7 linked regions of the Sus scrofa genome follow. The protein of the gene in region 1 interacts with the protein of each later gene in a pairwise test. Links are inferred from orthologs where the notes say so. Each region holds a gene or a part of one and is shown in the gene's direction. Other genes may lie near its edges.

What was found.
Region 2: the proteins of DAZAP2 (region 1) and PLSCR1 interact in binary tests that used the Homo sapiens proteins (3 or more experiments, as listed by UniProt). The two-hybrid records come from large-scale screens. The link is inferred for Sus scrofa from reciprocal best matches to the Homo sapiens genes DAZAP2 and PLSCR1.
Region 3: the proteins of DAZAP2 (region 1) and POLI interact in binary tests that used the Homo sapiens proteins (3 or more experiments, as listed by UniProt). The two-hybrid records come from large-scale screens. The link is inferred for Sus scrofa from reciprocal best matches to the Homo sapiens genes DAZAP2 and POLI.
Region 4: the proteins of DAZAP2 (region 1) and UBXN6 interact in binary tests that used the Homo sapiens proteins (3 or more experiments, as listed by UniProt). The link is inferred for Sus scrofa from reciprocal best matches to the Homo sapiens genes DAZAP2 and UBXN6.
Region 5: the proteins of DAZAP2 (region 1) and TNIP3 interact in binary tests that used the Homo sapiens proteins (3 or more experiments, as listed by UniProt). The two-hybrid records come from large-scale screens. The link is inferred for Sus scrofa from reciprocal best matches to the Homo sapiens genes DAZAP2 and TNIP3.
Region 6: the proteins of DAZAP2 (region 1) and ROR2 interact in binary tests that used the Homo sapiens proteins (3 or more experiments, as listed by UniProt). The two-hybrid records come from large-scale screens. The link is inferred for Sus scrofa from reciprocal best matches to the Homo sapiens genes DAZAP2 and ROR2.
Region 7: the proteins of DAZAP2 (region 1) and BATF2 interact in binary tests that used the Homo sapiens proteins (3 or more experiments, as listed by UniProt). The two-hybrid records come from large-scale screens. The link is inferred for Sus scrofa from reciprocal best matches to the Homo sapiens genes DAZAP2 and BATF2.

The regions. Positions count from the first base shown.
Region 1 is NW_018085018.1:160,535-165,380, reverse strand, and holds the start of DAZAP2 (DAZ-associated protein 2), read left to right. Parts: upstream 1-1,818; 5' UTR 1,819-1,883; coding exon 1,884-1,896; intron 1,897-2,894; coding exon 2,895-3,013; intron 3,014-3,422; coding exon 3,423-3,668; intron 3,669-4,568; coding exon 4,569-4,697; coding exon of another isoform or gene 4,698-4,846. UniProt on the Homo sapiens protein: In unstressed cells, promotes SIAH1-mediated polyubiquitination and degradation of the serine/threonine-protein kinase HIPK2, probably by acting as a loading factor that potentiates complex formation between HIPK2 and ubiquitin ligase SIAH1.
Region 2 is NC_010455.5:86,856,622-86,861,223, reverse strand, and holds the start of PLSCR1 (phospholipid scramblase 1), read left to right. Parts: upstream 1-1,304; coding exon 1,305-1,377; intron 1,378-4,602. UniProt on the Homo sapiens protein: Catalyzes calcium-induced ATP-independent rapid bidirectional and non-specific movement of phospholipids (lipid scrambling or lipid flip-flop) between the inner and outer leaflet of the plasma membrane resulting in collapse of the phospholipid asymmetry which leads to phosphatidylserine externalization on the cell surface.
Region 3 is NC_010443.5:103,803,496-103,807,590, forward strand, and holds part of POLI (DNA polymerase iota), read left to right. Parts: intron 1-1,534; coding exon 1,535-1,771; intron 1,772-4,095. UniProt on the Homo sapiens protein: Error-prone DNA polymerase specifically involved in DNA repair. Plays an important role in translesion synthesis, where the normal high-fidelity DNA polymerases cannot proceed and DNA synthesis stalls. Favors Hoogsteen base-pairing in the active site.
Region 4 is NC_010444.4:74,374,016-74,376,899, forward strand, and holds part of UBXN6 (UBX domain-containing protein 6), read left to right. Parts: intron 1-1,069; coding exon 1,070-1,167; intron 1,168-1,717; coding exon 1,718-1,793; intron 1,794-2,450; coding exon 2,451-2,535; intron 2,536-2,623; coding exon 2,624-2,884. UniProt on the Homo sapiens protein: May negatively regulate the ATPase activity of VCP, an ATP-driven segregase that associates with different cofactors to control a wide variety of cellular processes.
Region 5 is NC_010450.4:102,971,939-102,976,033, forward strand, and holds part of TNIP3 (TNFAIP3-interacting protein 3), read left to right. Parts: exon of another isoform or gene 1-1,900; coding exon 1,901-2,026; intron 2,027-4,095. UniProt on the Homo sapiens protein: Binds to zinc finger protein TNFAIP3 and inhibits NF-kappa-B activation induced by tumor necrosis factor, Toll-like receptor 4 (TLR4), interleukin-1 and 12-O-tetradecanoylphorbol-13-acetate.
Region 6 is NC_010456.5:3,032,146-3,036,872, reverse strand, and holds the start of ROR2 (tyrosine-protein kinase transmembrane receptor ROR2), read left to right. Parts: upstream 1-1,488; 5' UTR 1,489-1,775; coding exon 1,776-1,863; intron 1,864-4,727. UniProt on the Homo sapiens protein: Tyrosine-protein kinase receptor which may be involved in the early formation of the chondrocytes. It seems to be required for cartilage and growth plate development. Phosphorylates YWHAB, leading to induction of osteogenesis and bone formation.
Region 7 is NC_010444.4:7,178,242-7,183,112, forward strand, and holds the start of BATF2 (basic leucine zipper transcriptional factor ATF-like 2), read left to right. Parts: upstream 1-1,777; 5' UTR 1,778-2,196; coding exon 2,197-2,235; intron 2,236-3,819; coding exon 3,820-3,993; intron 3,994-4,871.

The DNA.
Region 1 (4,846 bases):
CCGTGAGCTGTGGTGTAGGTTGCAGATGCAGCTCGGATCCCGCGTTGCTGTGGCTCTGGTGTAGGCCGGTGGCCACAGCTCCGATTCGACCCCCAGCCTGGGAACCTCCATATGCCGCGGGAGTGGCCCAAGAAATAGCAAAAAGCCAAAAAAAAAAAAATAAATAAATAAATAAATAAATAAAATAAAAAAATAAAAACAGGAATGCAGAGTTCCCACCGTGGCGCAGTGGTTAACAAAACCGACTAGGAACCATGAGGTTGCGGGTTCGATCTCTGGCTTTGCTCAGTGGGTTAACGATCCCGCGTTGCCGTGAGCTGTGGTGTAGGTTGCAGACACAGCTCACATACTGTGTTGCTGTGGCTCTGGCGTAGGCTGGTGGCTACAGCTCCGATTGGACCCCTAGCCTGGGAACCTCCATATGCTGAGGGAGCGGCCCAAGAAATGGCAAAAAGACAAAAACAAAACAACAACAACAAAAAAGCCAGGAATGCTCAAACAAGTCCTGGCTATCACACAGGGCTGTTGTGAAGATTCATGAAGACCCCCCAGAGCATTGCAGGGGTGCTCTGCTCTGAAAACTCTGAGCATAATATGCTACTGGAAACAAAAGCAAGGGATTGCTGAGCTGAAATCAGTGGTTTAAATCATTCATCAGCAAATATTTATCAGGCTTCTACGGTTTACTGAGGGCTTTTCTTTCCAAAGTTTTCCCTTTTCAGATGCTTTTCTAATGTTCTTACTGAAGTATAGAATGTAAATTCCATAAGAAAACAATGTTTGCCTGTCTTGTCCAGCTCCATCTCTACTTGCACAGAGCAACACCAGCAGATATTTTAAAACGAAGAATGGAAGGAAAAACTTATTTGCTGCCTGAAAGGATGCCATCTTTGCCCTTAAGAACAAGGTTTTTGTTTTGTTTTGTTTTGTTTTGTTTTGCCTCAGCTAGGAATGCAGAAATTCCCACGCCAGGGGTCAAACCCTTGCCATAGCTATAACCAGAGCCACAGCAGCGACAACGCCAGGTCCTTAGACCACTGAGCCACAAGAGAACTCCAAGAACAATTAATTTAGGAGATACACAAAGGAAAATATACATGAGGTATCACACAGTTGCCTGTAACAGGTACCAAAGGAAGGGCAGGGCCACAGGCACTCCTTGGGGACCACAAGAATGCCAGTTTCAGTGTTAGCTGTAGTGTGTGTGGGGGGGGGGGGGGTTCACAGCACAGCATACCCTTCCTTTTAGTGAGAAAGCGACACTGAAATAAACACAGAAGCCTGTCGGTAGAATGGACAGGCTGAGAAAATTCGAGTGATGGTCTAAGTCAGAAAAGGACAGATGTGAATACGACCAGCAAAATAAACCTCTATGGAGTTGAGGCTTAAGTTGGGTTTAATGGGAGGGGAACACGGGATAAATCAAGGGTTTGAGGAGCGTATTTCAGGCAGTTAGAGAAATTCGTAGCACTGTGCCCCCTGTGGAAAGACTCTCAAAGTAAGGTGACCTTGAGTTGCAGTGCGTAGGTGGGAAGGGTTTCGGGGAGCAGTGTGAAGGTACTGCCTCAGAGCGACCAAGAGAGAAAAGATACTGTTTTGAGACAATACCTGTACTTTGTTTTCTTCCAATCAAGGGACAAGGGTGGGGGTTGGAGGGCTCGACCCAGTGGGCGGGGCCAAAGTGAGTGGGCGGATCACGCGGGTCCTTCCTCCAGCTACTGGAGACCTGGCGAAGGGGCGGGGTTTCCGGTGGCAGCGGCATTCGGGCGTCGGGTGACGCTAGGCGGACGAATCGTCACGTGACACGGAAGTGACTACGAACAGGAAGAGGACGAAAAAAATAACCGTCCGCGACGCCGAGCTGAACCGGACCCGCAGCCACCATGAACAGCAAAGGCAAGGACAGGGGGTAGCTGAGGCCATCGGGGAGAATAGTGCTGGCCCGGAGAGAGCGGGCCCGGGACCAAGGGTCATCAAAAGCCAGGCCTGGGGCTAGTTGCGCCGCGCTCCTGGGCCAGCTGTAGTGCCGGGGGTTGCGCCAGACGCCTTCGTCATCCCCGAACTACGGCTGCTCGCCCCCTCCTGGCCTTTTCCCCCTTAAACTCTGTGGCGCAGTTTGGAGCTCCGGGCTCGAGTGGGGGGCCGTTGGAGCGGGGGGGGGGGCGAGAAGGCTTGTCGTGATGGGCATCTGCAGGCGCAAATGGGGAGCTAGAGCTGATATTTGGGTAGGCCAATGGAGAGCCTGCGGAGGCGGGGCGCCGCGCTCCGGAACCACAGGCAGGCCCCAGGGCTTAACTAGTGAATTGCCGGCCCTGGTGGGCGGGCCGGGCAGGCCGAAGGGTCTCTTTCCCCTTAACCTCGCTGGCCGCCTGAACGTCTCCCAGTTCCTGTGTTAGGACATTCGCCTCCACCTCCTCTCCCATCCCAAGGCTCACTTTCACCACTCTTTTTATTTGGAAGTCGACCTTGAGTAGGAACCTGTGAGGTGGAGGACTACAAACACCGTTACTCACGAGCTCTAGGCCAGTTTCAGCCAGGCCCTGGGGGACCACCAGAGCAGAGAGGACGCACACACTTAAAACATCGACAGGAATGGGTGCGCAGACATGCCCATTCTGGAAGGATCTTGGGCCTAGATAGACTTTCCCCTTGTACCAGTGTGCTACTGTAAAGAGACCTTCCAGCCCAGTTAGAATCCAGCATCTCAGTTATAAGGGTACAAAGAGTGTTTATTTTCTTGGTTCCAGGAATCAGGCCCTCTAGGACAGTGTTTTTGCAAACCTCTTGCTGGCTCAGTGAGGTTAGCTACCCAGTATGCTCTGCCCCATTTTGGTTGCTCTGTGTGGTAGGCAACATTCTTTTTTTTGTTTTTTGTTTTTTTTCCTGTCTTCCAGGTCAATATCCAACGCAGCCAACCTACCCGGTGCAGCCTCCCGGGAATCCTGTGTACCCTCAGACCTTGCATCTTCCTCAGGCTCCACCCTATACTGATGCTCCACCTGCCTATTCAGAGGTGCTTCCAGTTTACTAGACTTGAACTGAGTACTCTTGGATCACATTTTCAGTCTTTAGCTAAGTCTGGCTCCACACATGTATTTACTCTCCACAAACAGGAGAGAGAGCTCACGTGGATAATCTAAAACCTCTTTATAGTTCAGCAATTTCAGTTGGGGTTGAGAAGGCATTATCTGATTATTTTGCTCTTTGGCACAGGCTGAAGTTGAGAAGATGAGTTAGCGTTCTTTGAGCCCAACATTATTTCTAGCAGGAAGTGATCCAGGAGGATATTGAGTGGCTGGTGGAAAGGCAACTTGTGTAACTCAGAGTGTAATCTGCACAATAATTAAGAATTGCCTCATGAAAGAGATCTGAAATAAGAATGTCATAAAGTAACGTGTTGCCCTCTCTTCTGCCTCTTCTAGCTCTATCGTCCGAGCTTTGTGCACCCAGGGGCTGCCACAGTCCCCACCATGTCAGCTGCATTTCCTGGCGCCTCACTGTACCTTCCCATGGCCCAGTCTGTGGCTGTTGGACCTTTAGGTTCCACAATCCCCATGGCTTATTATCCAGTTGGTCCCATCTATCCACCTGGTTCAACAGTGCTGGTGGAAGGAGGGTATGATACAGGTGCCAGATTTGGAGCTGGCGCTACTGCTGGCAACATTCCTGTGAGTATGCCTTTATCACAAAAACCTCAGCCCTTGTGTATATTAACTTTCTGAAATGACTACATAGTCATCCTTTCATCATCCCTGGGCAGTAGTTGCTGGTATTGGTGCAACCACTGACGTCCAGTAATCAGGCAGAATTCACTTGAGGGGGCAGGAGAACTGTGGGAAGTCAGTAGCCTCTGGCATATTCACTGAGGTCTGAGTTAACCAGATTCCTTTGTTTCTGTCTTAGGAGTCCTGCCTGCTGCTTTTCCAGTTCACTTTGGTACTGGTCTAGTAACACTCCTCATTCATTCCATAAGCATTTACTTAATATTTGCACAGCATTTTATCAGGAGCCATGATGATTAAAAAGTAGAATGCGTATCCCTGTTAAGTTCCCTTTAGGAAGACTTTACTAGGGCTTTTACTATGTCTCCCACTTAGTTTCCCTATGTATGGTAACTAGAGCCCAAATGGTCCTTGCTAGGGCCATTCACGCAGTAACCATATGCTAACAATGAGGTGAGAATGCTGTCATCAGGTAGAGCCTTCAGATTATCCATGTGAAAACTGTTGAGGAACTCTGTGGTGTAGGGCCATGGACCTGGTAACCCCTCCCCATTTTTTGGAATGGGAGTCAGAGGGATTTTCCACCCTGCAAATGCTTATGGGTCTGGACTGTGCATACCCAGGAGGGATCCCTAGGCTTTATCTTGGATCTGGGACCCTTTAAATGAGGGGTAGGATCTGTTTTCTGTTTATGTCTTGGGGCTCACAGAGAATATAGACCTGCTTCACCCACACTGCTGGCTCAAGTAGCACGTTGCCATCTTCCTGACCGGTCCTCTTTCATCTTTGTCCACTTCTCTCGTATCAGCTGCCCGGTGCCCAATCAACCTTGTCTTTTCCTTTCAGCCTCCTCCCCCTGGATGCCCTCCCAATGCTGCTCAGCTGGCAGTCATGCAGGGAGCGAATGTCCTCGTAACTCAGCGGAAGGGAAACTTCTTCATGGGTGGCTCAGATGGCGGCTACACCATCTGGTGAAGAACCAAGGCCACCTCTGTGCCGGGAAAGACGTCACATACCTTCAGCACTTCTCACAATGTAACTGCTTTAGTCATATTAACCTGAAGTTGCAGTTTAGACACATGTTGTTGGGGTGTCTTTCTGGTGCCCAAACTTTCAGGCACTTT
Region 2 (4,602 bases), on another chromosome or scaffold:
GGAGTGGGGGCTGTGGGCAGAGCCTCGAGAGCTATAGAACTAGGAGCTCAGCCACTCACCTGAAGCCAGGAAACAGAAGGGATGGTTAGGATGGAATGGCTTTTGATACTGCAGAAATATGTGGTAATTTGGGGTGTGCTGCAGTGTCTGTACAGGGAAAAGCCCTGAATGAAGTGGAGGATTCTCTGTCGCCTGAATTTGCAGTATCCATGGATCCCATTCTGCTGAAGTTACTATGAAGTCAATAGAATGGAGGAGGAAGTGGTGGGGGTGGGTCACAACCCAGCCTTCCTTCCTTCAAATCACATGAGTTGAGTGGGTTTTGAAAGCCCATGACTGGCCCATGATAGGAAAGCATACAGGAAATGTGCAGATTGAAAGTGTCATTAACTTTATCTTCCATACTGATGCCATGTCCTCATGATTCAAAAAGAAACTATTTTTAATTTACATAGTTAATAAGTCATAACAAAGAGAGGACAACATGGTATGAGGACAGTGTCCACGAGACCATAAACTCCATGAAGGCAGAGCCAGTGTAGCCATAGGGATGACACAGGAGATGCTAGTAAATATTTTTCTGGCTGGGGCAGTTGTTAAAGGAATGACTAGAAAAACACAAATATGAAAACTGGGAAATGGAACTATTCATACATATATTATTCAAACCACATTGATTAGCAGATACTAACATAAATTACCATGTTTATTTATTGTAATTGTCAGTTATGATTTTTGTATGACAAAATCAGTCAAATACTGGAATGTCCTATATTCAAACTTCATAGTGTAGTTCCAGAGTACGCGTAAAAAGGGAATTTAAATACTGAAGTATATGTATGTTATATGTATTATTTTAAATAATTAGAACATAATTCTTCAATCAATAATTATAGATATCTTTAAAATCACCTATAATCCTTGGTTCCACCATTCCCACATCCAGCTAGTTTCATTTATCTTTTTCTTCACAGTCTACATGTAGTTTAAAACAATCTATCTTTTCTAATAACAACAAAATCAAGATATGGAAGAGAATACTCATCAGGCATTTTTGCAAACTAGAAATTCAGCCCCAGAACTTAGCTGCCTATTTTATCCAAAGGGAATTTGTTTGAAACAGTATTCTACTGCAAATTAATTCTGATAATAGGCACAGCTTTTTTCAGTGAATAATTCACTTTCTTTCAATACAACACAGGCGTATATAAACAAAAATTCTCTAAGAACAATGCATTTTTCTTTCTAACATGTACTTTTTAAGAAGATAAATGTTTACCTCTCCTTGAACTGCAGATGCGCAAATGAAGGCTCCTTATCCGGGAACACACTCACCAGCTCAGAATCCCCCTGAATATCCTTCAGCAGGATTCTCAGGTAAAACATTAGCTTAAAGAATAAAAAACCAGATTTCCCCTTGTGGCGCAGTGGAAATGAATCCGACTAGAAACCATGAGGTTGTGCGTTCGATCCCTGGTCTTGCTCAGTGGGTTAAGGATCTGGCGTTGCCGTGAGCTATGGTGTAGGTTGCAGATGTGGCTCGGATCTGGCGTTGCTGTGGCTGTGGTGTAAGCCTGCAGACATAGTTCCGATTAGACCCCTAGCCTGGGAACCTCCATATGCCAGGGGTGCAGCCCTCAAAAGACCAAAAAGTAAAAATAAAAAACCAAAATGTATCAATTACTGATATTCCCAAAAGGGTGTCTGTCTGTCTGTCTCTGTGTTAAAAGTGCAGTGATGAAATTGGCAGCATACATCTTTCTTTGACTATATATTATCATAAATATCATTGAAATATTTTTTATTTATACAGGATAGTAAAGGTGTAGTGTTAATAACAGTAGTGAATTGACATTCAGCAAATAAAATATAAGGTCACATATATATTAAACCCCAAAATACATACATTAAGTAAGAGATTTTACTGAGTCTCCATTTGTTCTGAAAATTATGGTCATGCAATCATTTTTAGGAAATTTATCTCTGGATGTTTTTGAGTCATTTGTCATCTGGGGTTAATTGTGTTCAGTGATTGTCATGCAGAAGATGACTGGTTAAACCTGGAAGCTGCAGGCAACAGAAAAATAGCTACCTAGGATAATTCTCATTTTTATTTTGTTATACACAAAAATGTAAAAGTTTCACTTTTATAGACATAATCATATCTTGCTTTTCTTTAAAATTTTAATTGAAGTATAGTTGATTTACAGTGTTCTTTCAATTTCTGCTATACAGCAAAGTGATCCAGTCATATATATATATGTATATATATGTATATATATATATATATTCCTTTTTCATATGATCCTCCGTAATGTTCTAACTCCAGAGAATGGACGTAGTTCCCTGTTCTGTACAGCTGTACAGTAGTTTCCCACTGTGTATCCATTTTAAATGTAATAATTTGCATCTACCAACCCCAAACTCCTTGCTTTTCTAAGAAAAGTAACTGGATCATATCACTATAAACCAAGGAATACATTATTTCTTTTGAACCACTGCCTAGGAGGCTTCAGAGATTTTCATTTAAACAAATGCAGTTATCAACATTACCAGAATTTTACCGAATGACAGAGTTCATGGTGCACCCAGATTTGCAAGTAGGCAGGGTACCCACATCTTGAGAGACCATCCTGGGGACTTAGGATCAAAAGGAATCTGTTTGGGCAGAAGGGTGTATGCATTTTGATTCTATTCTGAGCAAATAAATGTGCTCGGGAGATGGATGGATTGTTTACCCATCTAGCCAGAAACATCTCAGTGTAGCCTGGATCTCATCCAGATGTTTGCATTTTAAAAGAATGTGGAGTAAAAAGACTCCAAGACTCTAAGGTGATAGTTCTCAAAAGTGCCTGTACTTAGGTATTACTTGCAAACTGTTGAAAACATTAGCATCAGGGCACTATCCCAGGAAAACAGAAGCAGAAGCTCTGGTTGTGGACCCCTGGGATTGGTCACTTCTTTAAATTTCTCAGGTGATTTAAATAAGCAGCCAGAGTTGAGAATTGCTGCTATAAATTTTTATGTGATTGGTATTTGAAGAATTATAAGCAAATCTATGATATGCACCCAAGGCACTTGGAGGATGTTTTAACCCACCCATTAGCTAAGTAATAGTAGGTGATACATAATTAAATTAGATAATAATCAGAATTGAGAGATTGCAAGAAAAATAGCTCAATTTTATTTCTGAAGTCCAATAATATAGGTACTTTATGATAATGGTGCTAACAATGATAGACTAAAATTAAGAGTTTACTGTGCCTAATGTTGATTAACTAATTTAATTATCAGACAATCTTATGAGGTAAATACCATTAATTATCCCCATTTTTCAAGTGGGAAAACAGGTATAGAAAGACTGAATCAGGCTTCAAAATCTGACTTTTGTTCTGAATAGTTGTGTGGTAGTTTTAAGCAAGTTGCTGTAAGTCCAAGCCTCAGTTTTTAATCTATAAAATGAGCATAATATTTTCTAATTCAGGCAATTTGGAAATTAAATGAAACTATGTGTAGAACATCTAGTGAAATGCTTTACAGTTAATAAAAGACAAATATTTGCTATTACATTAATAATATGTTCACTTGGGCTTTATTTAAATGAAAATATTACCCAAATTTCAAGTGATTCTATAGGCCTAACCCAATGATTTAGGAAATAATTACCTTTTCCAAGAATCTTTTGAAGATTAAATAATGCTAATAATCTAACCATTTCATATCTCACCTTCACTGGCTTGTCTATGGTTTGATGTTTGCACTATAGCCAGTGATGTTTAAAAATACATATATTCATATTATAGGCAGTATCTAATGAATACATCATTGCTTCCTCTTGCATTCAGGATAAAGGTTTTGTTCTGGTCCACCAAACCCAAAGGGATCCTCTGTTTTCTCCTTAACTGCCTCTTAAGCCTGTCTCTTTTCTTTCAGATAGATTGTCCTTTTTTTTTTTTTCAGATTTTCAAAGCAACTGTGTTTGTTACTATCCCCTGCTGCTTGCCTCCTCAACTCCTTTGCATCCATTAGATCTCAGCTGAAGGTGGTCCTCAGGGACGGTGTCTCAACTCCCTCTCTCTCTCTCTCCCCATCCAAACACCTTCCTTTGGCACATGTAGTCACAAAACCCTGGTCTCTTCCTTCGAAGCGCTTGTCTCTGATTCTAGTTAGTTAACCACACTGGTGTAGATCCCTAGAGTAAGGGTGAGTATGAAGTTCTTCTCTCATTAGGCAGTGGGACAGGGATTGCATTCGCATTTGTTATTTGAAATCCCAGTGCTCATCACTCATAAAAACTTTGCAAGACATAATGCAGATCATGGAACTCATTCTTCTGTTTAAATTTCCCAAATCCTATCAGTCACTCTTGGAATAAAATCTAAACTCCATATTAAGTGTGTGTGTGTGTGTGTGTGTGTGTGTGTGTGTGTGTGTGTGTTTATGGCTGCAGCCATGCCATATGGAAGTTCCTGGGCCAGGGACTGAATCTGAGCTGCAGCTGTGACCTGCATCACCGCTGCTGCAGCACAAGATCCTTTAACCCTCTGCACCAGGCCAAGGATCCAACCCATGACTCCACAATTTCCTGAGCTTCTGCAGTCA
Region 3 (4,095 bases), on another chromosome or scaffold:
GCCATCTTTTGCACGTTCGTATTTATTAATTCAAATAATCTTTGCCAGTTCTTAGCAAGAAAGCAGAATGGTTCATCTTCACATATTAAAATATGAATAACTGATGATATTTCCATGCGAATATAAGCCGCAGTCAGCTCCCCTAAATATCTAATTAGACTTTTAGACATCTTATGACTGCTGGTGACTTCCACATAGAAGACAAGCTACTCTGCTTTTGTGTAAGACTTGTCCTGACTTACTTGCTTCTAGGTCTCAGCCAGCCATAAATGTTTCCTCTTATGCTTCTTTTTTGAGGGCTGTGTGATCAATCGCCAGTCATTCTCCACCTCCTGATATTAAAGAACAGAGGTAGAGCTACAGTTCTCTTTTAGAAGAAGATATGAAGCTTCAATGTGTCTTGTACCTGTCCTCTTTTGTCACTTACAAGGTCTTGGTAGCAAGAAGTTTCTGTGTTTCTGTATAATTGTTAAAGCAAACTTGGATTCTATTGATTGGAACATATTAGCGAGAACTAGATTTTATTTCCTAAAATGTCTAATTCTTCAAGAATTCTTTCTCCTCCCCATACCCTTTTGTTAAAAAAAAAATTTCAAATCTATCGAAAAGTTGACAGAATAATACAGTGAGTACAGTCAAGATGCTCTTCCTTGTAGATGTACCCATTATTATCATTTTGCCACATTTTCTTTATCTTGTGTTCTGTTTATTGGTTGGTTGATATATTGAGAACCATTTGAAAGTAAATTACAGGCATCATGAACTTCAGAAACTCCTGAGGATAAGAACTCTCTCATATAAACTCTTTTTTTTTTTTTTTTTTTTTGCTTTTTAGGACCACACTTGCAGCATATGGAGGTTCCCAGGCTAGGGGTCTAATCGGAGCTACAGCTGCCAGCTTATGCCACAGCTACAGCAATGCCAGATCCTTAACCCACTGAGTGAGGCCAGGGATCGAACCCGAAACCTCATGGTTTCTAGTCAGATTCATTTCCACTGTGCCGCTATGGAAACTCCTCATATAAACTTTAATACCATTTTCATACCTCAGAAAATTTGTTTCTGTATAATTTCCCTATACTTTTAATAAAAGATCTCTTAGACTAAATATAAATCCAAAAGTGTTCTCAGTAGTACATACCACTAATGTTTAAGTTTAGATTCAGATCTTTAAAGCTTTCTCATTAGAGTAATACTTTTACTTTTATGCTTACTTCCAGGTAAACATGAGTAAAAGTTTTACTAATGCCAGTAGGAATTTTTAATGAGAGATCAGTTACTGTAATCTGTTAGTCATTAAGCACTCCTAGTAGGCATTCACGGTCACAGGCCCTTGGAATTAACTTGCGATAGTTACTTGCTTTACAGAATTGCTGTGGAGAACAAAAGAGACTAGTTAAGTGTATAGCAGCATGGTGGTGTTGGGGTATGGGAATGGATATACATTAAGCCCTTTATCTTTTTTAAACTCCTTTGTAAAAATGAAAATGAAATTTTTGGTGGTGACTTTTAACAACAATGGCTGTTTTTATAGCTATTAACCTACGTGACATCTTGCACATCAGACTGCTTATTGGATCTCAGATTGCAGCAGAGATGCGGGAAGCCATGTATAATCACTTGAGTCTCACTGGCTGTGCTGGAGTGGCTTCTAATAAATTATTGGCAAAATTAGTTTCTGGTGTCTTTAAACCAAATCAGCAGACAGTCTTACTACCTGAAAGTTCTCAAGATCTCATTCATAGTTTGAGCCACATAAAGGAAATGCCTGGTAAGACAAACGTATTTGAAAAGTGTATATTGGTTTTGTTATATTTCAAGTTACAAATTAAATTGCATATTTAATTGTATTAAATTACAGATAAATGTAACTAATTCTTAGAACCTATGCACTTGGTTCTTGGTCAAAACCGAAAAAACCTGCCATTTTCTGGAAGGAATCTATGTTAGGAAAAGTATGAAAGTACTTTTCTAGTTTCTCCTACTTTTGTTTAGTTTGAATGCAATCATGAAAGTTATAACCTGGAAACATGATCCTTTATTTTTTTTGTCCCTGGTTATACTTTTATACTGTAAATTGCATCTAGAAAAAGAAGTTGGTCTTTCACTAACTCTTATTTTGAGATTATGTATAAAATATTAAGGCTGCAAAGGATCTTCTAAAGCGTCTTGGCCAACATTTTATTTTAAGGATGAGGAAATTCATGTTTTGAGGAGTTCAGTGACCTGTTTAGGTCATGGGACAAGTTTGTATCTTTGAAGATCAAATGCTTGACATTTTTATAGACCATTCATTAGTAATGGATGTGTTAAACTACATTTCTATAGCTTTGGCCGGGATTAAGATATTAATAGAATTCTGTGGAAGAGAATTTCTAAGACTACTGAAATGTAACCATTAGATGTCATAACTTCACAATTTTAACCCATGTTTGGGTTCCGTAGTGTGTTATACACTGCCTTGCCTTCCTCAATTTGGTATAGTCATAACTTAAAGTTTTTTGGGTGACTCTGAGTCTGTTCTGGCAAACAATTACTATGTCAGGCTGTAATAAATTGAAGACTGTGTACTGTGACATAACATTATTACTTGGCTTTACTACAGTTCTTATTTTCATTTTTTCCAGGCTTTCTCATTTCTTCCTTATTGCCAAATTGCCAGCCCTCATTTTTTTTGTTGTTGTTATGAAAATATCTGTCACTTCACTTTAATAATTCCTGCTATAGACCTATCACCTTTGATTTACTTCTTCCTTTACTGTACAAGGATAACTGTAGGATTAATTTTTAAAAATGAGAGGAGTAAAGGAGCACTAAGTTGCCTGAGGATTTTTCCTATGATAAAGTATGACTGAGTTTTAGTGCAAGAATTTTGTGATAGGAGTTTTGCTAATGAGAAAATGTGTTTGTTTGCTTTCTGGCTCGAAGATGTATTCGAAATAATTACTGTCTCCAGATGTAAATGTGTGGTATTGTGTATAGGAATCAGTCAAGTTAGCTATTAATTAGCACATAGTAATGAATTGTAACTGCTCTAGAGACCATCTCTCCTTTTTACTTTCTTTTTTCAGGACAGTGGGGTGGAGGGCACACTCATGGCATATGGAAGTTCCCAGATGAGGCATTGAATCTGAGCCACAGCAGCAACGTATGGTGCATCTGTGGCAATGGCCAGATCCTTAACCCAAGGCACTAGAGCAGAAACTCAGTGACAATCTTTCCTTACATGAATAATAACTGTGATTCTTCAATACTTCCATGGTTTTGTAGAACAGGTGGTAAAAATTTCATTTTATCAAGACAGCATTTATTGGTTATCTCTTTTTAAAATTTTTTTAAGTTGTTATTTCCCCAATACAATTTTTTTCCTACTGTACAGCATGGTGACCCAGTTACACATGTGTAACATTCTTTTTTTATCACAATATCATGCTCCATCATAAGTGAATAGTCACAGTTCTCAGTGCTACATAGCAGGATCTCATTGCTAATCCATTCCAAAAGCAATAGTTTGCATCTATTAACCCCAAGCTCCCAATCCATCCCACTTCCTCCTCCTCCCCTTGGCAACCATAAGTCTATTCTCCAAGTCCATGAGTTTCTTTTCTGTGGAAAGGTTCATGTGTGCCATATATTAGATTCCATATCTAAGTGCTATTATATGGTATTTGTCTTTCTCTTTTTGACTTACTTCACTCAGGATGAGAGTCTCTAGTTCCATCCATGTTGCTGCAAGTGGCATTATTTCGTTCTTTTTTATGGTTGAGTTGTATTCCATTGTGTATATATACCACATCTTCCTAATCCAATCATCTCTCAATGGACATTTGGGTTGTTTCCATGTCTTGGCTATTGTGAATAGTGCTGCAATGAACATGCGGGTACATAATGTCTTTTTTAAGGAAGGTTTTGTCCGGATATATGCCCAAGAGTGGGATTTCTGGGTCATATGGCAGTTCTATGTATAGTTTTCTAAGGTACCTCCATACTGTTCTCCATAGTGGTTGTACCAGCTTACGTTCCCACCAACAGTGCAGGAGGGTTCCCTTTTCTCTACATCCCCTCCAGCATTTGTTATTTGTGGACTTATTAATG
Region 4 (2,884 bases), on another chromosome or scaffold:
CACCCCCCACTGTTATACAGCAGAACAAATGAATTTGGGTCAGATACAGGTGCCAGCCTTGCTTGTGAGACAACACGGTGTGGCTGTGCGCAGTGGCCATCCAGAGCGTGAGCAGATATGCTCCTCGCCTTAGTTATCCATTCATAGCCTTTTCCCACTGGGATGCTGAGAGAGTCCCTGGAGGTGCCTGGAGGCTAGGCTGGCTGAGGGATCAAATGGGGGCCATGTGACCTCTGCAGTTCTGCCCCTCCCCAGGGAAGCAGGTGAAACCCCAGAAGCACAGGGACTAGAAGATTTCCACTATTTTGCCTCCCCCAGCTGTGCACCAGGCAGCCACAGGTCACAGACCTCTTTTGCATCCATCCTGTCTCTGCTGCCTCAGTCTATCCCTAGAATGTCCCTCAGTGGGCTGGGGGATTAGGAGGGATGGTGTGTCCACGGTGGCCAGCAGGTTCCGGATCTAGAGGCTGCAGCGCCCTTGGCGGTGCTTAGTGCTGGGTTTGGGCTCCAGAGCAGAAAGCAAAGATGTGTGTCAGACCAACCTAGGGTGGCGTAACCCAGGCTGCCAATGCCCCCTCTTTCCTAGAGGTGGGGGGAGGGTGAGGCCCAGGCTGGAGTTCTCAAAAGGGCTTTTCTCCTTGTTCTGCTGGGCCTGCACGATCGAGTTTGCTTTGGTCACATGCTAGGGCCTGCTGTGAGAAAGTTCTGTTATCACTGGTGTCACTAGACCCAGTTGCTTGGCTGGCATGGCCTCCAGGCGCCAAAATGGGCACTTTCTTTTTTTTTTTTTTTTTTGTCCTTTTAGGGCCACACCCACGGCATATGAAAGTTCCCAGGATAGGGGTCAAATTGGAAATGTAGCCACTGGCCCAGATCACAGACACAAGGCCAATCCAAGCTACATCTTCTACCTACACCACAGCTCACGGCAATGCCAGATCCTTAACCCACTGAGCGAGGCCAGGGATCAAACCCATATCCTCATAGATACTAGTTGGATTCATTACCGCTGAGCCACAACATGAACTCCGGTGGGCCCTTTCTGACTCGCTTTCCTCCCTCCTCCCAGCACTTTTCCACCGACCCAGTGGCTGCTTCTATCATGAAGATCCACACGTTCAACAAGGACCGTGACCGGGTGAAGCTGGGCGTGGACACCATTGCCAAGTGAGTGGGTGGACCCCACCCCTCCCACCAGGGTCCCAGCTCCTAGGCCTCCATTGCAACCTGCTGAGGGAGCCTGGAGGGAGCATGGCCCTGGGAGTGCAGCCAGGCCCCACCCTTCACTCCCCTAAGCCCTTGGGGAGGGGGCTTGGCCTCTCTGGGCCTCAGTTTAGCTATCTCTAAAACGAAGAGTTTTGCCAATTTAGGGGTTCCCAACCCTGACTTCCCTCCCAGAGCATCAGAACATGAAGGAGGCAGGGTTTTCCCCTGCCCCCAGTTCCTCTGACTGAGCAGGTCCAGAGGGGCCCAGGGGTCCATGTTGCCCAGGAGCCTCTGAGCTATCTCTGGGCACCATTATTCTGTCTCTGCCTGCTCCACCCCACCGTGGTGGTTCCTCAGTGCCCCCAGTGGGAGAGCCTAGACTGAGGAGGCCCAGTGATGGGGGCAGCAGGGGTTGGGCTCCGAGGGTGTCCAGGGTATGATGGCAGGCTTTCCTGGGTCACTCGTAGTACAAGCTGACGTGGCTGTGAGCTGCCATCCTTGTTCACCCCAGGTACTTGGATAATATCCACCTGCATCCGGAGGAGGAGAAATACCGGAAGATCAAGCTGCAGAACAAGGTGTTCCAGGTGAGGGCTGCCACCAGACTTAGCCTGGTGTGGCTAGCATGGCCAGGCCCGAGGCCACCCAGGACCCAGTCCAGCAGTAGGAGCAGGTGGCCTGCAGATAGCCAGAGGGGGCCAGAGCCAGGCTGCAGAAAGGCCCCTGCAGGAGTTGGGAGTTGGCAGGTGGGGAGGGGGATTCCTAAGCACAGGTTGTGTACAGTATGCATACAGTGTCTGCTCTCCCCACCAGCCACAGCATGTTTCGGCTTTTCTTTGAATTCATTGGAAACACATCAGCACTGGGGAGATTTTTCACGGACAGACTTCTGGTTTCTGTGGAGAAATCAAAGGGCCTCCCACCCTGGCCCTTTGGTACCTGTGCAGCTGGCAGGGCTCCACTGTTTACTGGTGGCCCCCTCTGAAGCCCAGCATCACACAGCCCACCTCCCTCACTTTTGGGGATTCCCTCGCCCCTCAGCCTCCTTTGCTCTGGTGTTGACCTTTCAGGGTCCCAGGCCCTATGTAAGCTAAGCCCCACAGACAGCTTCAGGGGTTCATCCTCTCTGGGGACAGAGCAGCTCTGAGACCCGGGACTTTGGGAGGAGGATGGGGTGAGCAACAAGGCTGGTGGGGTGCATGGGGGCCTCCAAGGTCCCATATGACCTCTGGTTCTGCTCTCAGGAGCGCATTAACTGCCTGGAAGGGACCCACGAGTTTTTTGAGGCCATCGGCTTCCAGAAGGCACTGCTTCCAGTCCCTGACCAGGGTAAGACGAATAGAGAAGAGCCTTGGCTGAGCCCAAAGAGGGTGGTGGGAGGGGCCTGGCTCAGAGTTGACATCCCTGTATGTCACAGAGGGCCCTGAAGAGTTCTACGTGCTGAGCGAGGCGGCCTTGGCCCAGCTACAGAGTCTGGAACGGCACAAAGAGCAGCTGTTGCACGCCGAGCCTGTGCGGGCCACACTGGCCCGTCAGTGCCGGGTCTTCCGGCCCTCGCCCCTGGCCTCCCAGTTCGATCTGCCCATGGATTTCTTCAACCTCACTGCCGAAGAGATAAAGCGGGAGCAGAGGCTGCGGTCTGAGGCCGTGGAGCGGCTGAGCGTGCTGCGGACCAAGG
Region 5 (4,095 bases), on another chromosome or scaffold:
AGGATTCATGATGCAATACATGGAAGTATTGAGCAATTGTGATATTGTTGTTACTCACTTTATTATTACTTCATAGGAAGTAATCTATAAATCTAAAAAATTCAGAGCATTTGATTTAAAGTTGATTTTTTTTCTTCTATCAACCCCATTTGAATAATCTGCTTCATTACACTCAGGATCAAATATATAGCTTAAATAAATCCATGGAGAGAATAAGGTTATAGTCAGAACATCAAATCTCTGCCAAATTCTCAACCCCTAAAGTACCATTGGCACTAGCCAGGATTCCTCTGAAAAAAGTACTGCTTACATTCAAACACTTGAGTCATCTTCAATGCTCTCACGTAACATATACCACATGCCAGAAAATTGCTCTTAAACATGGTGTGCCTGCTTACACATGCTCTTTACAGTAATGGTTTAGTTCATATTCGATACAAACAATGGCAGGTTTTCTTTTTTTCATAATCCCCAGGAGTAGACCAGAATCAATTTCCTTAGTTTTTGTGTGGCTCTTTTGCTTACTTTTTACATTCGCATTTTAACTGTGTACATTTCTAATTGAACACCTACAATCATTATATCACCAATGCTGCATAAAACCCTAAAGGATTTAAATTCACAAAGAAACTGAACTAGAATCTTGGCCACCTAAGTGATGACATCGCTCTCAGTGTTGTGTTTGATAGAGTGTTCTGTTCTAATCAGATGGGCTTCTCCCACTTCAAATGCCTCTGGTAATTATTTACAGAGCCTTGGTTTAACTCATCTGGATTTGAACCTCAGCTCTCAATCAAAAAACAAAAAACAAAACAGAGCAAAAGGTCAGCTTGGCTGGGTAAATTCCCTTGCAACACTTCTGCCAAATAAAAGCCTTAAAATTAATAAGTATATATATAAAATCTGCCTCTAGGGTCAGGTAAAATGTTTAATTTCTTCCTCTCTTGGCTATTACATTTGGTCTTGTTATTATTGACTTAAATTGGATAATCATTTAGTTAAAATTTGTTGCACTGTTAGCAATGATGGTATAATGTGCATTAATGTTAATAGACAAAATCTAGCTGCTGAGTTCCCATGTAAGTTGTAATTTAAATCTGGTTTTAGAGGAATTCCTTTGTCTCATTCCTTAAACTTCATTGTGTTCATAACTCTGCATTCTAGTCTCCAGGCCATCAGTCAACACTATGCCAATTAAAACAACAATAATTAAATCTGGGGGTTTTTTTTGTTTTGTTTTGTTCTGATTTGATTACTTTTCCGGAATATTTGGAGTCCCTCTCAAAAGGCATTACTTCTTTTTTAATGATACACCCCCACAATTGCTTATAAAGGGCAACTCTGTTGAACATATTTCAACAAACATGCTCTGCTTTCCCATGTATATGAGCCTTTCATTTCTATCTTCTGCTCAGCTTATAAGTTATATTTAGAAACTTGGGCATGCCGATATTTAGTGGCTTCACTTAACAGCTATTGTCAGTAAACTGTCTTTAAGAACTTCAAGCAGTATTCATACATCAAAGCCTTGTTTTAAGGACGGATGATTTGCCCAAAACTGTGACAACACTGGGGAGGGGGAGGGGAGAGTGGAGTGAGGTGTCATGAAATAGAGGTGAGGGGAATTTTTTTCTCAAAGTATCCATGTTATTATTTTACTTCTGAATTCCTGATACATGCTCAAGGAGGAAAACATTGCAAACTTCCCTCCTGGACAAAGTGAAAAAATAAAATTATAGCCATATGTATCAAGGTGGAGTCCCCCCCTTGAAGAAATATTCATGAAAACAGGACAGGAGTATCTCAGATTGGACAAACCCAGGTAACACTTCTTCTGAACTCATTTAAATTACTTAAGAGAAAAGGAAGCTAAAAGTAACAGCAAGTTAATATTTCTTAGGTACAAATATATGAAGAAGACTTCAAAAAGGAGCGATCAGACCGAGAAAGACTTAATCAAGAAAAAGTGGAACTACAGAAAATTAATCAAACTTCTCAATCCCAGCTGAACAAGCTGAATTCTCAGGTATAGGTCAAAATCATCTTTGCCAGAACATGTATATTTTATTTTTATTTTCTTAATTTAAAAAAATAGACTTTTTGGCTTCTGTTAATTGGCACTGGATTTTTTTTTTTTTTTTTTTTTTTTTTTTTTGAGAGAGAGAGAGAAAGAGGTTAGCACCTGGAATGAAATCATTCTTAAACCATCTTGTAAAGAGATGAAAATGACTGGAGAGTCCTTTTAACTTAAGTATATTAAGAAGTTACCAAGAACTTGGATTCCAAAGTCTTTTATAAAATCCAATTCTTTTGATCTTTTTCTCATAATATTTATCTTGCTAGAAAAGGAATTGAACTACCTAGCACTCAAACTCAAAGCCAAAACACTCCAGTACAGTGAAATTGTTTCTAAACTTGTCATTTTCTTTGAAGGACTATGTTAGAATGTTCCTGGCTTCCAAAAACATAACATATTGCTAAATGTCATTAGTGAAACCAAGAATTTTGTTCAATAGGTTCCCAGATTTAATGTAAGTGGAGCACTCTCAAGGAAGCCAGAGAGTGTTAGCCAGTTTATTAGAATAGAGTATTAAATGTAAGTATACTAAAATTAAGAGTAATAGAATTTATTAAAAGTAAGCTCAAGAAGTTGCCATGGTGGGTAAATATTGCTGTTAATGAGGAAAATGTAGCTAACTCAGTTTTGGCTTGAGTAAAGAAAATAAAACACAAATTTCAATTTGCAAAATTATGCTGTGCTTTTCAATAAATAGGAAATCGCTGTGGGACATGGCTGTGACAGCTCTTTAGCTTCAAAATTCTTAGTCTTAGAAGCGAATTTAAACTATTTGTCATCCTCTCTTTCCTAATACAAAGTAGACTGTGAATTAAATTTAATTTCTTCTTTGAAATCTTTTTTAAGGAGTAACTTGAAATCCCTAGTTTTATACGGAAAATTATTTGACAGAACCACTTCCTTTCTAAAAAATTAGAAGGAATAAGATAGTGGTAAAACTATAATAAAGACACTTTTTCTGAAAATAATTCATACAATCTACTTTCTACAGCAATGGGTAAGAAAATGTTCTGATTGCTCTCAACAAAGAAATTACTGTCTCAACTTTAGGTCTTTATATGCAAAGCAGCCTTAATTTCTTTTAAGTTGTCACTGCACAAATTATTTTACTTCCTGCCATATTTTAATTTTATTCATTCTGCTATGTTAAATTCAGATTCATTATAAATATTTGTCTGAATTGGCAATGTTCCTGCCATTATAGAAGTTCTAGTACAACCAGAAACACACAGCCATCTACTTAAATTATAGACTATAATCCATAGTTATTTTTGTTCCCGTGTCATCTGTGATTTTATGTTATCAACAAAATAAATGTATTGTCTATAGTATGATATAACCATGCTTATGATATGTTAAAACTATCAAAATTTTCCTTATAATGTTAGTACAAGCATCTGTTCTTCAGAAGTCTCATTTCTTCAGGTTAAAGGATGATAGAATTCAAGATAAGTAACAGATAGCTTAAAAGTCTATGTTAAATGAATTAACAACCAATTAAATGCCATTATATTATCGAATCAGCTTTACCTTTTGAATAGCATATTACTTGAGGTCCAAATTGGCCATTTGACCAAAAAGGAAATTTTAGGTCAGATAAAAGGTATTAGTTGGTATTATATTGCTGGTATTAGTTGCTTGTATACCAGAGTTTATCCCTCCTATCACTGAGGATGTTTTAAGACAATCACCGGTAAAATAGTCAGTGTGGAGAGAGATACTTAGGAAGAATTCAAGGATGAGAGCCCAGTGTTCATGCTTGCTTTAACAATAGGTGAGAACCTTGAGCAAATATTCAAATTTTCTCTGCTTCCTTTTCTTCATCTGTAAAATGACAAAGTTGTTTCTAATAACTCTGAAACCTCTGTCTCAAAGTAAGTTGCTTAGCCTCTCTCAGTACATTCATCTGTAAAATAGAGTAATGATACCTACCTCATAATTCACAAAGTTGTTCTCAGGATTAAGTTAAAAAAAAAATCTATATAAAAACATCTCACGCAAGCCATGGCTCATAGGTA
Region 6 (4,727 bases), on another chromosome or scaffold:
GGTGATTAACTGCTTTTTGAGGGGCAAGGCTCATAGGACCTTTACGGCCGCCCCGTCTTGTTTTTCACCAGATCCAGAATGGAAGCGTCTGGAACTAGTGCTTCCAGACCAACTCTGAAAGGCTTATTTACTCTTAAAGGGCCCCCAGGGGAAGAAAAGGGAGGAAAACCCCAGAGATAAACACCTGGCAGTCTGCACACAACACCGGGAAGAGCCCCCTCGCCTCCCAGCCCCTTTCAGACCAGCACAAGCACAAGCGGCGGCCGGAGGAGCAGCTGTGCGCGGGGTCGCCGCAGTTGGATAATGATTTTACCATCTTCTCCCACTCGCCCCTGGATCCCTGGCTGCCCCTGGCCAGCCACAGTCCCAGTCCCCAGTCTGCTTTAGGAATGAGCACTGTGTGAGACGTTCCCTAAGCAGATTCGGGGCGGAGACAGAGGCCTAAATAATTCGAACGGGGTAGTGGGCGGGGCCGGCTCAGCCACGTTGCCAGCAGACCACAGCGAGAGGGCTTTTATTTCCTGCCTTGTGGGAGGCGGTGGAGGGGGCAGTTCCAGGGGGGGCAACCTCAGGGGTCTCTGGGCCTAGCACCCAAGGCCGGGACTCTCCCGAATTCATCCTAACTAGCAGGAAATGGTACTTGAGCAAAAAAGCCAAACTGCTTGATAATCACTTAAAAGATAAATCTCCCAAAACAAACAACTCAGACCCCCGAGGTTCTGACTCCTTTCTTCAAGAGAGCAAAAACAAAGAAAATTCCTAAGTTACAAACAGAAGGGTCAGGCCTTCCAATTCCAGACCTTTGCATGTGTTAAAGCAAAACCAAGAATAAGCAAGAAAATATGCTATTTGAATTGCGTTCAAGATGTCTTTTACAAGTGAAGCAAATTACTTCTGCATGTTCTGGGGCTCTGCAGAGTTCTGCCTTTAATGGGTAAAATTACACAATTTGCTTTTAACAGTAAACCCAAAGCCGCGGTGGCTTCAGATAGCATCGCACTCCCGAGGGCTCCTTCCACGCAGCTCTACTCTCAGCAGTTTCTAAGCATTTTGGAAGGTCGCAGTTGTCCCCACTGGGTGTAGCAGGGCGAAGAGGGGCCCGGGAGGGCGCCGGCAAGGACGTGACCTGTTACTTTCCTTGCATGTTTTGGTTCTCTTCCTCCCGCGTCGCTGGTTTTGGGGGACTAGATCTTTCTCTGATCTGCTCGGTGGTGGCCGGCGGGGCGCAGAGTCATTCTGAGTTACAGATTTATGACCAGGCCCCCGGAGGTCCCGGCTCCTAAGGGTGGGTGTCAACTGTCCCGGGCGTCTCTGCGGCAAGGGCAGGCCCCACAAGGTCCGGCTGGACGCTCCCAAGGTTCCACCTCTGCGGCCAAGCGTGTGGAGGTGCAGGCCCGAGAGTGGGCCGGAGAGGCACCTCCCGAGACTAGCGGCTGCCCACCGTCCCAGCTCCTGCTTCCCGCGCGCCCCTCCCGTCGCAGGCATATCCCTCCGGCAGGGGGCGCTGGCGCCGGACTTGCTCTGCCCATCGGGGCGGGCGAGCCTGGGACCCTGCCTCCCTGCTCGCCAGCGGTCCGCCCCTCGCGCTCGTCCCGGAGGCCGGAGCCGAGCGGCGCATCCGGGCGGGGAGAGGAGGAGGACCACGAGTTCCTCGAAAGGGATCAACTCACGAAGCGCCCGGGAGGAAGGGCAGCGGACGCGCGGCCGAAAGGGGTGGTGGCGCCCGGACCCCGCGCCGCGCCGGTCCCCGCGCCCCGGCCCCCACGGCCCGCGGCATGGCCGGGGGCTCACCGTTGCGGTTGCTGTGCGTCCTGGCCGTCTGGGCGGCCGCCGCGCTCCTACTCTGCGTGTCGGGGACCTCAGGTAGGACCCGCTGGTCCGCGCCCGCCCTACAGCACGTCTTCCGTGAGTGAGACGGGGGTTCGGGGCTCACGCGTCCGTCCCTTCCTTCGCGACCCTGCTCCGGCCGCCTCGCCGGCGCCGGTGCTCCCGAGCGAGGGGTGCCTGGAGGGGCCCCTCAGCGCCCGCCTGGGTTCCGTTCCCCAGCCGGCGCCCCGCTGCCCGGGGCTGCTTTCAATAAGGCGCGCTCTGGGGATGGCTAAGTGTTTCCAGAGGCCGGGCGGGCGGCGCCGGCGCCCGCGAGGAGCCCCTTGCCGGGGGTTTCCGAGGGTCGTGAGTGTGAATGCGGTCCAGCCCCGGGTCTGCAGAAGTGTCCGAAGTTCTCAGGACCTTGCATCCGCCTTGCTCGCCAAGGTTACCTTCCGGGGCTCCCGGACAGCGGCACCCCGGTATACGCGAGATTCCCCCCACCAGCGCGGGCGCCGGGACCAGGCTAAGGGAAGTGCACCTCCCGATCCCCGCCACTTGGTTGAAAGGGGATTTGGCTTCCCTTTTGTTGGCCCTTCACCCCCCTCCCCCACCGCCGGGAGGTGGCGTTTTCTGTGCCTGGGATGGGGGTCCCCCGGCGGCTTTTCAGCTACTGGGGGACCTGGTCTCCTTCAGGCGGGCTGGAAGGGCGGACCCGGCTCCCGGGTGGCGTTTTTCTCGAGGGTCGCGGGCATTTGGGCTGCGTGAACCCTGGGGCGCACAGGAGCTGCCGCCTGATTAGAGGGGACCACGCCATCCTGATCTTGGGGGGAACCCCCGGCCGGCACCCGCTGCGGGATTCGCGCTCACTGCCTCTGCTGGGGAGGGCGGCTGCGCCTCCAGGTCTGGAGGTTGAGGTGGTTCGCCTCAAGTCCCAGAAATGTGAGAGACGCTCCTGACACCTAAGTGGGTCTCAGCGTCGCCCGTTCTGTGCTTTGCGCCCCACTGCCCGCATTTCTGGAGGCAGGTGAGAATTAGGCGACAGGCACAAGAAGAGCGCCAAGCTTTTCTCCTGTTCTGCTGCCATTTGCGCGCTCCAAGGACCGGGCCCTTTCCTGGGGGGCGTTTAGGTTTAAGCAAGAGCTGATTACGTCAGACATCCCTGATCACTTGATTTGGGAAGGGGGTTTGCGTTTATGTCGCTGTTCCTTAAAGCATAAACCGCTCAGGGTGCACGGTGCGAAGTCAGTTAACTGGATCTTCTAAGTCAGTCTGTGGGGTTCTAACCACATCCCTGCGGTTTTCTGCAACTGCCCCCGCCCCGCTAGAAACCTTCCCCGCTTTCGAGTCAGGGGATGCAGTTGCTTCCCTGTGGGAAAGGGAAGAGGGGGGGCTTAACGCTGGGACTCTACTGGCGACTGCGCAGCGTTTGCGTAGTGGCCACGCGGGGGTTAATTGCCAGGCAAAATCTACCTCGCAAATCTGTGGCCGGGGGCGGTTTTTAGTTGCGTTTGCCAAGGAGGAGTTGGAGGTGGGTGATCTGAGAAAGGATGATGGGTCTGTTGCTTAAATCAAGGTTGTAACAAGAACTGGAAAGTTGCTCATTTGGGGCGGAGTAGTTTAAACGTTGCCGTCGTTTCCAGTCGAGTTTAAGACATCTCTGAGGAACAAAGCAAACCAGTGTTATTTTCGTTAATTTCTGAACCCTGTGTGGAGGTCATTTTCTTTTTCCAGGAAAAGAATAATCTCCATAGAAGAGAGAGTAGGGAAGCTGTGTATAATTCTCCTCCTTCTGGAATGCTAGGTTAGCTGAAAATTCAAAGAACATAATCATATTCGAAATATGAATACAATTTTATGATTAGAGGAGATTTGGGTGTTTGGCATCTTTTCTGCTGTGAAGAGGAATCCTTGTAATTTGAGTGTATTTTATACACAAAACATAAGTTACTATGTTGAAAAGCTTATTCCTAGAGGATTTATATACGTTCTACATTTTTATAGACGGCTCTGTTCTCTAAAGAGACAAAAGCTTGATTTGAGACTGTATGCCTTGCCTGGGTAGGATGGGCTGGGAGTTTTGGGGTCCTCCCTCCCCGGCTTTTGACAGTGCCATGTTTACTTCTGGCTCAGATCCCTGGAGTGATGGTGGTAATAAATAATGATAGAGATCCATTTGGAAGTAAGTAAACGAAAACATCTTGAATAAGAAGACTTTGTGGAAAAAGAAAAGGTTTTATATACTATATAGGAAGGCAACATGTTTTTCTTATTATGGCTCTGTACCAAGCAAAGAAGAAGCACACATTTGAAAATTCTCAGTGTGTAATAGTGAGAGAGAGTTTAACCCTCTCGGCTACTTGATAAAAAAAATGCCATCTTGAGACAAGGAACACCACTGACCCAATGTGACATTCAGTGTGAGCTGCTGTACTAAAGCGTTTATAAAAACAGTGATGGGTGACCAAGGGGGGCTCTACTTTGTGAGGCTGAAGTCTTAATTAGCGAAGCAAGTCATAGTTAGAGAACTGACAAGAAACTGCTTAATATTTTGCATGCCAAAAAAGCAACACGGGCTTAAAAATGTGCATTTACCAGGAGTGGTTTTTGGTGAGGGTAGCCTGCAGATTTAGGAGGCAATGTGAAATAACATTCTTATTTTTATCATTAAACCCTTTTTCTATTGTTTGGCCCAGGTTCCATGGAAATTGGTGCTTGCATGTCGCTCTGTGGTGGTGTGATTTGCAGTAAAGTACTTGTTCTCCATGAATGTTGTGTCTCTTTAGCCTCGGTTTAACCTCCAGGACATTTAAACCTGGCAGAGTTTGGATTTATCTCCTATTCTCCGAAATCTTTTTTTGAGATCAATGGGAGAGAAATGCAGGGGGAGTAGGGGAACAGCCTGTCTGACAGGTAGGGAA
Region 7 (4,871 bases), on another chromosome or scaffold:
GGGACTGTGAGTCTCCTCCCCTGCTCATGACAGACAACACTAATCAATCACGATGTGGCAGACATTGCTAATCAATTGCAGAGTTCTTTTTTAATAAGCTCGGAGGCAGCTGTGACCTTCTCTACACAGTACTTCAGGACACCCTTACCCATCAGAAGATCAAATCTAGTATTTGCCATTCCTGTGATTCCACTCTGTCAGCCTTGAACACTCAGGACTCAGGCACTATGCTTTGGATGCTCTGGTCAGCAGGTCGCAGGACTCTGCTCTGTACATCCGTTGCTATGCTCTTCTAGGACAGAGATTAATGGCTCTGCCACCCCCAAACTGTTGGCCCTTCCAAGCACGGTCTCTCTTAGGGAACAACCATGCAGTTTTGCCTGGGGCTTCAGGGTTCGTTAGGTCTTTAATGGAAGTCTTAACGTGAAGCATTTTAGTACCCCAAAGTGTAGATAATATTATTATCACAGACAGCTGTGTTCCCACAGCTGAAGTTCAACAAACCATCACGGACGCAACTGAAGTCCTTGTGTGTCCCCTTCGGTCCATCTCCACCTCCAGCCCCGCCCCTGTGTCACCACTCTCTGACTTTTGTGTCTCTCATTCCCATGCATATTTTTATACTTTTTTTTTTTTTTTTGTCTTTTTGCTATTTCTTGGGCTGCTCCCGTGGCATATGGAGATTCCCAGGCTAGGGGTCTAATCGGAGCCATAGCCACCAGCCTTCACCGGGGCCACAGCAACGCGTGATCCGAACCGCGTCTGCAACCTGCACCACAGCTCATGGCAACGCCTGATCGTCAACCCACTGAGCAAGGGCAGGGACCGAACCCACAACCTCATGGTTCCTAGTTGGATTCGTTAACCACTGCGCCACAACGGGAACTCCATATTTTTATACTTTTATTACATAATTCCGTATCCACATTATCCAGCCTTTCAGAAATTATGTTGCTCAGATCCTGTTGCAGCTTGTCATTTTCATGCCATTGGATGTTACGAACTTTTAGGCATGAGGCTAAGTGCAGCTTTGGCTCTTTCACCGTATCATAATTGTGAATATTTGTTGAGCCCTTATTCTGCACCAGGCATGGTTTCCGGTACCTTACCTGCCTTAACAATTTTGTTGTGCCTTACCTAACCTTCACAACAAAATATTTTACAGATTTGGAAACAGAGGCATAGAAAGGCGAAAGTCTATACCCTTGGAAACTGTGCTCTTAGCCGCTAGACACCACCCTCTCTACTGCTGTGGGGTCTGTGGTATGAAAATACAGTCGTTTATCCATCTGTTCTCCTGTTTAAGGGCCATTGCTTTTTCTTTTTTCACTTTTTGGGGCTGCATCTGCAGCATATGGAGGTTCCCAGGCTAGGGGTCCAATCAGAGCTACAGCTGCTGGCCTGGGCCACAGCCGCAGCAACGCAGGATCCGTGCTGCATCTGCAAACCTACACCACAGCTCACGGCAATGCCAGATCCTTAACCCACTGAGCAGAGGCCAGGGATCGAACCCGCAATCTCATGGTTCCTGGTCGGATTCATTTCCACTGCGCCACAATGGGAACTCCAAGGGCCATTGCTTATTTTTGCAGACGCACCTCCACACTGGTCTCACCAGGTTTGAGGGTGGTTGTATTATCTTGCTTAAGTTCCTGCCTGTAAATAAATATCTATATCATCTCCCTTTATAGATGAGGAAATTATGGCTCAGAAAGGGTAAGTCACTTTCCCAAAGCTGCACAGCTCCAAAATGCCAGAGGTGGGCTGTGAACCTGGGTTCCTGCAATTGTAGAGCCCAGGGGTTTGCCCATATCCCATGTGACCCTCGGTCCCCCCTTGGCTTCTCCTCTCGGCTCTGTCCCTGGCAGCCTGCTCTCCCTCTTCCAGAACACCTTCCCCGCACCTGGCCTTCAGGCCCCCTCCTCTGGCCACCCTCCACCGTCCTCCTCCCAGAGAAGGGGCCCAACCGGAAGGCCAGTTCATGTTAGGAAATTCCAGCCACGTGAGCCAAGCCAAGCCCGGGATTCTGAGCAGCCGGTGGCTTTAGGAGAAACTGAAACTTGGCTCGCTGGGGGCGGGGTGGCCACTGGGGATTTAAAGAGCTGCCACTTCCTTGGGCCCCCAGAGGGCACGGGGAGGTCACAGCAGCCGAGGGCCACCCTGAACCGGGTGTGAGCCTCTGTTTTCCCTCCAAACATGCACCTCTGCAGAGGCGACGAGCTGCTGACTGGGATGGTGAGTACAGGGGACGGGATTCAGGAGAGGAGAAGGGGAATAGGCCCCAGGGCGCCCGGTGCCAGTTTGGTTCACATGGGCTCACCCCCGCCCCCCGACCCTGCCGGCCTCAGTTTCCTCGGAGCATCCTTGGAATGAGGGTTTACCTGCTCTCCCATTGCAGATCCAGCCTCCAGTCCAGAGCCCGGCCTCTGGTTACTGCTCTCTCCTAACCTACCTGTTCTTTCATTGCCATAATGGGAGACTTCTCTGGCCATGGTTCTGGTGGAGGCCTTGCCCCTCTCCCGGGACCCAGGTACCAGAGTCCCACCTGCTTCTCTCACTGCAGGTCTTTCCCCGGGGTTCCTGTCTTTTGGCCCCAGCACCTGGAAGGGATCTGCTGTGGCCATGAACCTGGAAGCAGAGTCCTCAGCCAGGGAGGCCAGGGTCTTGCCTGAGATTTCTGCACTCAGAACTTGCAGAAATCAGAGTGATCTGTGGGAGGGGGGTTGGGCTGTGGGGTCCCCAGCGTTTCCTCTTGTCTGACCTTCCAGAACCCTGGGTGTTTGGGTCAAATATTTCATCTAAGCTTCATGAACCCCAGTGTAGGGGGACGGTCATGGCTGTGAACCTCTGAGGCCACAGTTCTGTCAGAAGGGACTCCATTCATTCATTCATTAAAGGCTACTTGTCCTACTAGAATGCGAGCAACTTGGGGCAGGAATTTTTTTTCTCTGTGGTTTGCTGCTCTGTCCCCATAGCTCAGTGCATGGCACCTAGTAGGTGCTCAAAAAATATTTGTTGGATAAATGAACTTCAGTTGTGGGCCTGAGCTGGCCACGGGCACTTGGAACCCAATCAGAATGCAGACCTGCTCTCACAGACGAAGCTCAAGGCTAGAGAAATCAACACCTTGACTGTGGAAATAATAGCTATTGGAACAACGGCCGCCTTGTATTAACCCTGGTCCGTGGGCTGGCCTTGGGCTGTCTGCCTTACGACGCTTGAGGAAGGTACTGGTCTTCCCTTGTGCAGATGAGGCAGCTGGACACAGGGAAGGCCTGCCCAGGGCAACAGGGCTGATAAAGAGAGTGTGGGTGTGAGTTCCTGTGGTGGCTCATTGGTTAACGAACCTGACTTGTATCCATGAGGACCTGGGTTTGATCCCTGGCCTTGCTCAGTGGGTTAAGGATCCAGCATTGCCAGGAGCTGTGGTGTAGGTCACAGACGTGGCTTGGATTCCAAGTGGCTGTGGCTGTAGCTCCAATTGGACCCCTAGCCTGGGACCCTCCATGTGCCATGGGTGCGGCCCTAAAAAGAAAAAAAAAAAAAAAGAGTGTGGGTGTGAAGTCAGTTCTGTCTGGGTTTGAATCCCAGACTCTCATCTTGTGCTGCCCCAACGTGAGCTGTGAGTAGGACATGTGGGTGACTGGGACTCCACCCAGGGGTGCTGTGTGTGCGATGGGGTGTGTGGACACCGAGGGAGCCAGAGATGGCTTCTGGGAGAAAGGGGACCCTCAGGGACTTAACTCAAGAAGGGTGTATGGCTTTACAGCCCGCCAGCCCCTGTAGGGACCCCTGAGCCCTCTGCCTCTCACCTTACAGGACTCTGAGGAGCATCAGAGACAGCTGAAGAAGAAACAGAAGAACCGGGTGGCCGCCCAGAGAAGCCGGCAGAAGCACACGAACAAAGCGGATGCCTTGCACCAGGTGGGGATGCTTCCCTTCCCATCCCTGACGTCACGTGCCTGGCCCGGCCACCTCTTCTCCATCCGGCCTGTGAGCAGTTCCACCTCCGCTGCTGTGTGTGCCGGGGGTGGGGCAGGGGGGCTGCAGCTGTGATTTGGAAATTCCTGAGTGTTGAGTGGAAGCCGTGCTCCAGATACACACTGGGCTCCAGGGGCACAGCAGGGCATCCTCAGCCTGGGCCTGCCCTCGAGGCAGTCTCCCATCTAGGGGGAGGAAAAGGGAAGGAGGGGCAAACAGGGAGAATCCCGTGGGGACCAGCTGGGGAGCTCGTTAAAATGCAGACCCCTGGAGTTCCCGTTGTGGCGCAGTGGTTAACGAATCCGACTAGGAACCATGAGGTTGCGGGTTCGGTCCCTGCCCTTGCTCAGTGGGTTAACGATCCGGCGTTGCCGTGAGCTGTGGTGTAGGTTGCAGACGCGGCTCGGATCCCGCGTTGCTGTGGCTCTGGTGTAGGCCGGTGGCTACAGCTCCGATTCGACCCCTAGCCTGGGAACCTCCATATGCCGTGGGAGCGGCCCAAGAAATAGCAACAACAACAACAACAAAAAAAAGACAAAAATGCAGACCCCTGATCCCTCCCCACCCACCTGAGGAGGCTGGAATGGGGTCTGGGGGCTACACTGTGATGACCACTCTGCCCGTCGGGGTTCTGATGTGGTGGCCACGGCCACGCTGTGAGAAACTGGCTCAGGGTTAAGATGGGCTGGCTTCTGAGTCCCAGCTGCAGCACTCATTAGCTGCAAGTCACTTGGCTAAGCTTCCCTGTCCTCATCCGAAATTGGGGGCAATAATCCTGTCCACTGGTGAGTCTGGTGTGGGGAGGGGGGCTCCACCTGCACTTGCCTTCTCATCTCACATGGTAACTTGACCTTGGATGGTAACCTGACCTTGGAGCTTCCTTCTTCCTC